2 linked regions of the Mus musculus genome follow. The main gene of each other region encodes a partner of the protein of the gene in region 2 in a complex. Each region holds a gene or a part of one and is shown on either strand. Other genes may lie near its edges. The genes, in order: Dydc2 and Nme5.

The links.
Region 1: the proteins of Nme5 (region 2) and Dydc2 are in contact, whole or in part, in a cryo-EM structure (PDB 8X2U), measured with the Mus musculus proteins. Residues at the interface, in NP_542368.2 of Mus musculus: Arg140, Ala145, Val146, Ile147, Ile151, Pro152, Ala156, Ala157, Tyr160, Ile161, Tyr164, Val165, Thr168, Leu169, Leu173, Leu176, Cys177, Lys180, Pro181, Asp183, Pro184, Tyr185, Leu186, Leu188, Ala189, Asp190, Leu192, Met193, Asn196, Pro197; in NP_001347537.1 of Mus musculus: Asp2, Tyr5, Leu6, Cys9, Phe10, Gly13, Leu14, Leu18, Val21, Ala22, Arg23, Val24, Arg25, Pro26, Asp28, Pro29, Ile30, Glu31, Leu33, Ala34, His35, Leu37, Tyr38, Tyr40, Arg41.

What each region holds. Positions count from the first base shown.
Region 1 is NC_000080.6:41,059,167-41,062,980, forward strand, and holds part of Dydc2 (DPY30 domain-containing protein 2), read right to left. Parts: intron 3,783-3,814; exon of another isoform or gene 3,755-3,782; intron 3,339-3,754; 5' UTR 3,330-3,338; coding exon 3,183-3,329; intron 2,852-3,182; coding exon 2,729-2,851; intron 1-2,728.
Region 2 is NC_000084.6:34,576,104-34,580,592, forward strand, and holds the start of Nme5 (nucleoside diphosphate kinase homolog 5), read right to left. Parts: upstream 3,013-4,489; 5' UTR 2,974-3,012; exon of another isoform or gene 2,665-2,973; 5' UTR 2,584-2,664; coding exon 2,455-2,583; intron 1-2,454. Other genes in the region: Brd8dc (uncharacterized protein LOC271508), read right to left, coding at 4,091-4,141. UniProt on the Homo sapiens protein: Functions as part of axonemal radial spoke complexes that play an important part in the motility of sperm and cilia. Does not seem to have nucleoside diphosphate kinase (NDPK) activity.

The sequences.
Region 1 (3,814 bases), on a different chromosome or scaffold from region 2:
ACTCCCAGATGGATCCCTTGGAAACTACCTCTAATCCTCATGCTACCTCTGTGGATTTGGGTTCCTAGTATATTTGGAGAGTATAGATGGGCAATTCTGTCTGCTTTCCCTAAGCCTATGCCTGTTCGTCATAATACAGCTGTTTTTCCCAAGTTTTTTACGACCAATAAAACTTTAGGCCTGCCATACCTACCATTTGACCCTATCTGGGCACCATTGGGAGAAAAACGCTCTTTAAGGGAACGAGGTTCTCTCTGTTTCCAAATTTATGAATTAGGAAATTGTATCAGACTCACCAGCCGAGCTTTGGGAATGTTTTTTAAGTATCGAGGAGGCGTGGTGAAAATAACCCAAAACACTTCCAACAGAGATATAACCCTTACAAATCGGACCTTCTGGCATGAGACAACCTGGGTTAATGGTACATTTCTACCACCTAACTTTTCAGACAAAGAACGTCCCTATCAACCAAAAATGGCTCCTCATTGTAGCTTGGAAGATGAAGGGCTGATCCTGCCTTGGTCTGATTGTCAATCCTCTGTCACTCGTTGGGCAGATCAGAGTAAAACTTTTTCCTTTTCTCCCAACATGATAGATGACCCAGAGCAGAAATATGTTATGAAAAAGGGACTTTTCATACAGGACTTTAGAATGCATCCTTTTCATAAATGGGTACTTTGTGGGATTAATGGTAGCTGTACAGATCTTAATCCCTTGGTTTTCCTCCAAGGAGGAGCTGCTGGAAAAACGATTTTTAATGGTATTTCAAAATTTGCTCAGTTTCATCAAGTTCTGTTACCTGATAGAACCATTTATCAAAATTCTACTACTGAAATCACTGGATTTAATAAGACATTGATAAAGCAGACTAATTATTTACCTACTCCAGTTTGTGTGTATACCCCTTTCTTGTTTATTCTTTCTAATGGTTCCTTTGAATCCTGCACTAATGAAACCTGCTGGATGTCACAATGCTGGAGCCTTAAGTGGGCCAGCCGTGCAATGCTTGCCAAGATTCCACGATGGGTTCCTGTCCCCGTGGAGATCCCTTCCACCATAACCTTACACAGGCAAAAGCGAGACTTTGGTATCACTGCAGCCGTTGTGGTGGCAATGGCTGCCAGTGCGGCGGCAGCTACAGCTGCTGGAATTGCTATGGCAACATCAGTCCAGTCAAGTACAACTGTCGAGCAGTTGTCCTCCTCTGTAACAAAAGCGATCGATCAACATTCAGTGCTCAGTGCCCAATTAAAAGGTGGGCTAATGATAGTGAACCAGCGCATTGACCTGGTGGAGAAAAGACTGGAAATTCTGCTCCAATTGGCTCAGCTTGGCTGTGATAAGAAATCAGGAGCCTTATGTATTACTAGTGTCCAATATGAAAATTGGACACATGCAGCTAATCTATCTAAAGAATTGTCTTTGTTTCTTACAGGAAACTGGTCTGAAGGATTTGACGAAAAGCTTGAGGCGTTACGTACAGCAGTGATGACGATTAATTCTACGCGTGTGGACCCATCATTGATCGATGGAATCAAAGGACTTTCTTCCTAGATGTCCTCTGCATTCTCACATTTTAAAGAGTGGGTGGGAGTGGGCCTGTTTGGCGCAACCCTGTGTTGTGGACTAGTGTTTCTTCTATGGCTGGTATGCAAACTCAGATCTCAACAGAAACGTGACAAGGTGGTAATTGCTCAAGCACTTGCTGCCATAGAGCAAGGCACCTCCCCTGAAATTTGGCTATCTATTCTCAAGAATTAGTTGGCATTTGAGTTCTCTGTCCTTGCATCCCACAAAATTGTGGATACATTGCATTGAGATGAGAGAAACTCAACGATCATTGATCAGTCCGTGCACATTGCTGAGGTTTCCTCATTGCATGTGATAAGGTGATCATGATTTCCCCACTAATTCATTTTTGGCTGGCCTCTTTTGTAGAGTTCACCCTAGGCCATTTAGCAGTTATAGTCACACAGCACTGTGGTATCCAAAGACGGGCAACTTTCCTCATGCACAGACCAACCTAAGACAATGGGGCCCGGTGGTGATAGGGTTACCCGATAACGGGTAAGGCTGTGACATTGGAGGAACGACCTAAAACAGGGGCCACAGCAGATGGACATAACTACAGGGCCTAGACCAGCCTCATTTTAATAAATTATAGAGGGGGAGATGTAAAGGGCTGCAATATATGTGCCACCACTAGATAGTGCTAAACCTCTTTGTGCGCAGCTGCGAGAGCACAGCCAGCCAAAGTCACCAGTCCATCTCCAGGGCTTTTGCCCAACCCCTGGGGGCTTTAACCTATCCCCAGGGTGCATGAGGATCATGGGTGTTGCTACCAGTCCTAGTTTAGACACGTCACCAAAAGTATTTAAGCCACACACTTTCTGAGCTTTCTTTGTCTACCTCAATATGATATAGAAGTAAAAGTTAACCGTGGAAGAATCTGGTGTGTCCTGTGTTTATTTCCCGCGGGACGGGGATAAGCTCGGGATACTAAAGTTCTGCTTGCTAATCTGAAGAAGGCGGACTTGCTTTCAACTGTTTGGTGTTGGATTCTGACATCTGTATTGCATCATAGAGGACATGCTTGATATGTGGCTATGAGGGACAAGCAGGCTCAGGCTAGCTTTAGTGTGTTTTACCCTGTGCTGGGCATCTTGAGGATTTCCTGAAACCCCTGGCTGATAGAGGCTGAGTTGAATTTTCCATTCTTCCTTCCTACCTGGTGACACTTTTCACACTTCTGCTGAATCTGATAGCCTTCTTCTTTCAGCATTTCTGTTGTTTTTGCTTCCTCAGCGCTTCTGTCACGTGCTTCCTTAAGCTGTAGCTCCTCTTGCCTTCTCTAGGGTAATATGACAGAGACAAATCAGGTCACATCCCTTAGAAAGGAGCCCTCCCTCATGTGAGATAGGCCTGGGCCAATGAGGCCTACTGAACTTACTATTGCAAGCATTAGCTAGCCAGTAGCTGCCAACCCAATTCTACAACCCATTAAGCTAGATTTCCTCCTTACCCCCCCGAGTCCTGCATACTTCAGAGACATCTGGGACAAAGCAATCCACAGAAGGGAGATGAGCCAAAAACTCTCCTGGCCAACTCAGGACTATAACTTGGATTTCAAGTTGTTCTGAGCAAGCTGCACCCTACCTAAGCAGGCCCAGGACACAACACACCTTTTCCTCAGCTACAGTTATACTCCTATAATGGTAAAGCCAGTGAGCCAGGTACTCTATTGGGTCACTGGGCCGCACTCTTGCCACCTCTGCCAGTGCCTGGGTCAGGCCGGTTCCAAAGCAGTTCTTCAGGTAGGCAGTATCCATGCTGAGAACCTAGGACACACCAAATCAAATGCTCTATTATACAAGCGCAATCTAACCTTCAAAGTAGATCCATTCTAACAAGTCAGATTCGTTCCAGGAAGAATAAGAACTATTTCTGGATCACCCTTACTGTGACAAAAATGCTTGATCTCTTCAACTGAAGAGGGAAAGGCTTGGCTTTATGGTCCTTTGGTCCATCATTCTTGGCTTATAGTGAGGCCAAACATTGTAAGAAAGGGTGCATGGTAAAAGTAACTCGCTTTAGGAAAAGAATGGAAGGAAAGAAGGAGGAAAAAAGAAGGGAGGGACATACATTCTTAACCCCTCCCACGAAATACACACGCACTCACCCACACCCACCCACTCACACACACACAGAAAAAGAGAGGGGTGGGAGCTCCTGCATGGTGACCCAGTGACATTACTTCCTTCCACTAGGCTCCTGGGGAGTCTTATGGACTCTTGTCATTTCCCAGTATTGCCAC
Region 2 (4,489 bases):
AAAATCTCCCCACTATGTCATCTCTGTGAGTGGCACAAGCACATGTCTGTGTTCGTGTGTGTATATGCACATATGTGGGAATGCAGGTGCCATATTGTGGAGCTATAGTCCGCACTGGGTGCCAGCCACAGTTGCTCGCCACTGTGTCTCCAGGACTCTCCTGCCCTGCTGCCCCAGCACTGAGATTACACACAGGTGCTGCCGTCACACCTGGCTTTTACATGCTTGCTGGGGATTCAAGCTCATGTCCCTGTACTTGCTCAGCAAACGCTGGGCCACAACCCCACTCCAACTCTGTTTTCTTTATTTTTTCATTCATTTCTTTATTTTTAAGGATTTAATTATTTTATACATGTCAGTACACTGTAGCTGTTTTCAGACACACCAGAAGAGGGCATCAGATCCCATTACAGATGGTTGTGAGCCACCATGTGGTTGCTGGGAATTGAACTCAGGATCTCTGGAAGAGCAGTCAGTGCTCTTACCACTGAGCCATCTCTCCAGCCCCCAGTTTGTTTTTGTTTTTGTTTTTTATTTTAAAACACTTAGAAAAATAGATAATATGATACTATATAAAAAATTTAGCTGGGGGGAGAGAATGGGGGACTTTTGGGATAGCATTGGAAATGTAAATGAGGAAAATACCTAATAAAAAATATTAAAAAAAAAAAAAAACTTAGCTGGAGCCAGGCAGTGGTGGCACACACCACTTTAATCCCAGCACTTGAGAGGCAGAGACAGGCAGATTTCTGAGTTCGAGGCCAGCCTGATCTACAGAGTGAGTTCCAGGACAGCCAGGGCTACACAGAGAAACCCTGTCTCAAAAAAACAAACAACAAAAAATTTAAGACAGTCTCAGGCTGTTGAGATGGCTCAGCATGTAAGACTGCTCTTCCGAAGGTCCTGAGTTCAAATCCCAACAACCACATGGTGACTCACAACCACCCGTAATGAGATCTGACGCCCTCTTCTGGTGTGTCTGAAGACAGCTACAGTGTACCTATTTATAATAATAAATAAATCTTTGGGCTGGAGCAAACAGAGACTGAGTGAACAGAGGTCCTAAATTCTATTCCCAACAACCACATAATGGCTCACATCCATCTGTACAGCTACATTTTATGTATATGTCCTCATATACATAAAATAAATAAATCTTAAAAAAATAAAAGTCTCACTATGTTACCCTGGCTGGCTAGCAACTTGCTATAGAGACCATACTGGCCTTGAACTCAACAGAAACATACATCTCTGCTTCTCAGTGCTGGGATAAAAAGCACCAAACTCAGCTATATTCATACAGTTAAGAGAATAAAAATGTTTTATTCTCTTAAAATTATAGTTCGAATAAAATTCAAACAAAATATTACAAACACTAAGCTCTATTTCATCTATTTATAAACTTGTCTTTTAGTTGGAGACCTTGTCTACTAGAGGACAGTTAAGAATTCTGTGAAGGGGCTGGCAAGATGGCTCAGCGGGTTAGAGCACTGACTGCTCTTCTGAAGGTCCTGAGTTCAAATCCCAACAGCCATATGGTGGCTCACAACCATCTCACATACATACATAAAAAAAAAAAAAAAGAATTCTGTGAAGCCCAAGATCACTGGGAACTCAGATCCTCCAGTCCTACCATGTCTAGGGCTGGGATCATATGTCACTACTTCCAAGGCCTGCATCCATGTATCCCAGGATGGCCTAGGACTCACTATGAAGTCCAAGCTAATCTCTCACTGTCTTCTGGGAGGCCTGACTTCTTTGACTTTGTTTACCAACTACAGAACAAATATTGGTTTTAACTCTAAATGTTCGCTGGCTGTGGCGGTGCTCACCTTTAATTCCAGCACAAGGGAGGAAGAGGCAGGGGGATCTCTGAGTTCCAGGCTACTTAGTGAGTTCCAAGTCAGCCAGGGCTATACGGAGAAATCTTTTCTTGAAAACAAAAACCAAAAGAAAAAAAACAAAACAAAACAAAAATAAACCTACTGACACCAGGAACCAAAATATGCACAGGAATATTGCACATAACCTAGAAGGGATAAGTAGGTTCTCATTTAATGATCCAGAATGTTAGAAACACCCAGGAGAAAGAATGTAGCTAAGCCATTGCCCCTCCCTAGAGCTGACTTGGGAAAGGGAAGGGAAGGGAAGGAAAGGCGGTTGGCTTCTTTGATGTCGTACTCTCCATCCTTTGAAGTGTGAAAAAACTTGTCTGTTACTTGTATCTTGTTTGTTTTTGAGACAGGTCTCCCAGGCTAAACTTGGAAGTCAGTACATAGCTGACCCGCCTCGAGCGCCTGATACCGAGATCACAGGCATGTGTGGAGCACATGCCCAGGTTATATATAACCTTTATATTTAGAAATGTAAACTTAATGTTACTAAGGATCTAATCGGGTGGCTACATTTATATAGGAATAACGGAAAACGAATAAAAGAGACAGCAGACGTTACCTGAATAATGGTGAATCCAGATCCCAGAATAATATCCTGTATCTCCTCTTCTTTGTCAACAACATCTGGCTTGATAAGGGCTAGGGTTTTTTCTACATATATCTGAGGCAGGGGCATTGATACCTCCATTCTGGCGTTTTCCGGTACAATTTTCAAATCTCCTAACCAGTTATCCACAGCAACGACAGGAGTCCTGGTCCCAAAATCAGCCTGTGGCAAAATTTGGTGCTAGATTTGATTAATTTATAAAAACGGAAACTGCTATGTTTTTCTACGAGAGCAGTTTTGCAAGAATCCGACTTGTACTGCACGCAAGGGGAGCCCTAGCCGCTTGACTGAGGTTGGAGGACGGATGGTCAGCGTCGCTCTCAGGGGTAAAGGAAGGCACCTAGCCGGCTGTCCTAGTGAAGGGGCCCCACCCCGTAGGGGCCACTTGGTGCAGGCTTAAGCATGACAGAAAAGATGAGTCCCCGAGCCCTCGGGAAATCTCCACGCAGGACCCTCCCAAGCTTTACTTACTCTGTTCAGGTGTTGTCAAAGCCCGTTGCTAAGAGACCCAAAGCTGGTTTCCTAACGGTGGCTGCAGAGGGCCAATTCCAGCCGCGTTTTAAATGGCTCTAGTTAGTTTTAATCTAGGGCAACAATTAGCCGTGCACATTTTATTCTTTTTGTACTACACACACTTCTAACGTTTCCCACACTAATTTTAAAAACAATTTTATTTACTGTGTAGTGTGTGTGATGTGATGTGATGTGATGTGATGTGATGTGGAGTTAAAACAACTTTGTGAAGTCCTTCCCGTGTTTCTGTGGTTTCCAGGGATGGAAATCAAGTGGTCATCTTTACCCTTTTAGCCTTAGCGCCAGACCTTCTCTAGATGACCTCCTTTCTTGAAGGATGTGTACCTTATCCACACGCTGTAAATGAGATAAATCAGACACCTCTCAGCTATTTACTTTTTCTTTCCTTCCTTTTCTTTTTCTTTTTTTTTTTCTTTCTTTTTCTTTTTTTTTTTGGGTGGTTGTGGTGGTGGTGCTTAGGATCAAATCTAGGCAAGCAATTAACCACTGAGCCACATCAAACACCTTCTGGGCTTCACCACGTGATGCCATCCCCTCTAGTTCCAGCTTCTTTAACCGTTTAGAAACCGCCTTTGCAAGGCCTGGTGGTCTGGTGGTGGAAACCCCTAATCCCAGCACACCATTGGAGGCAGAGGCTGGATGCAATGGGGACTTACAGGAAAGCCTAGGTTTTGATTCTCTGACTCAAAAACCAAGCAAAATCTTTAGTTTGCGAAATATTTATTTATAGAGAAACAAAGGTTCAATCAAATTACTTCTAAGTCTATGCAACAAAAATATGAGCAATATTTACACCATAAATCCAGATCTTGGTACCCCACCCCACCACACCCCACCCCTTTAAAAAATATTCCATCTGCAAGCACCATTGGCTTCTTAGTTAGGAGGCAAGGCATTACTGTCCTTATTTGGAAAGGGAATAGAGAGAGAGGGAGGGAAAGTCTTCACATCGTCTCTGGCCAGTCCTAAGAAGAGCTGTAACTTGAGAAAGAACCAGACTTGTAGTTCCAGGCTAACAAAGTCCCCTTTCTTCATCCACCACATTAGCTGGCACTCATTCCAGACTACTCAAGTCCTTCCTTTTATCCAGCCAAGTACTCAGAACCTACAGGAGCAATGCACAGACAGGAAACCATGAACCTTGAGGGCCAGGAGGAAGTGTATGCAATTGTATTTATTTTATTGGCAAACAGATAAAACTACACCTTTTAAAATTTGATGCTTTCCAAAGAGAAATCCTTACAAGTCTCCTTGAACTCACTCTGTCTTCTCCAAATTATGGGAAATATACATGTACATTAATGTCAACAGTTGCAACAAATGAGACATTGTCAGTGAGTCCAGCACCCGATTTGCTTCTAGCCTTACGACTCGGGCCTCTGAAAGCAGACCTGACCGTAACTAACTCCTCTCCGGCCGTCTTGCTGCTGGCCTTCCCAGACAACCTCACCCC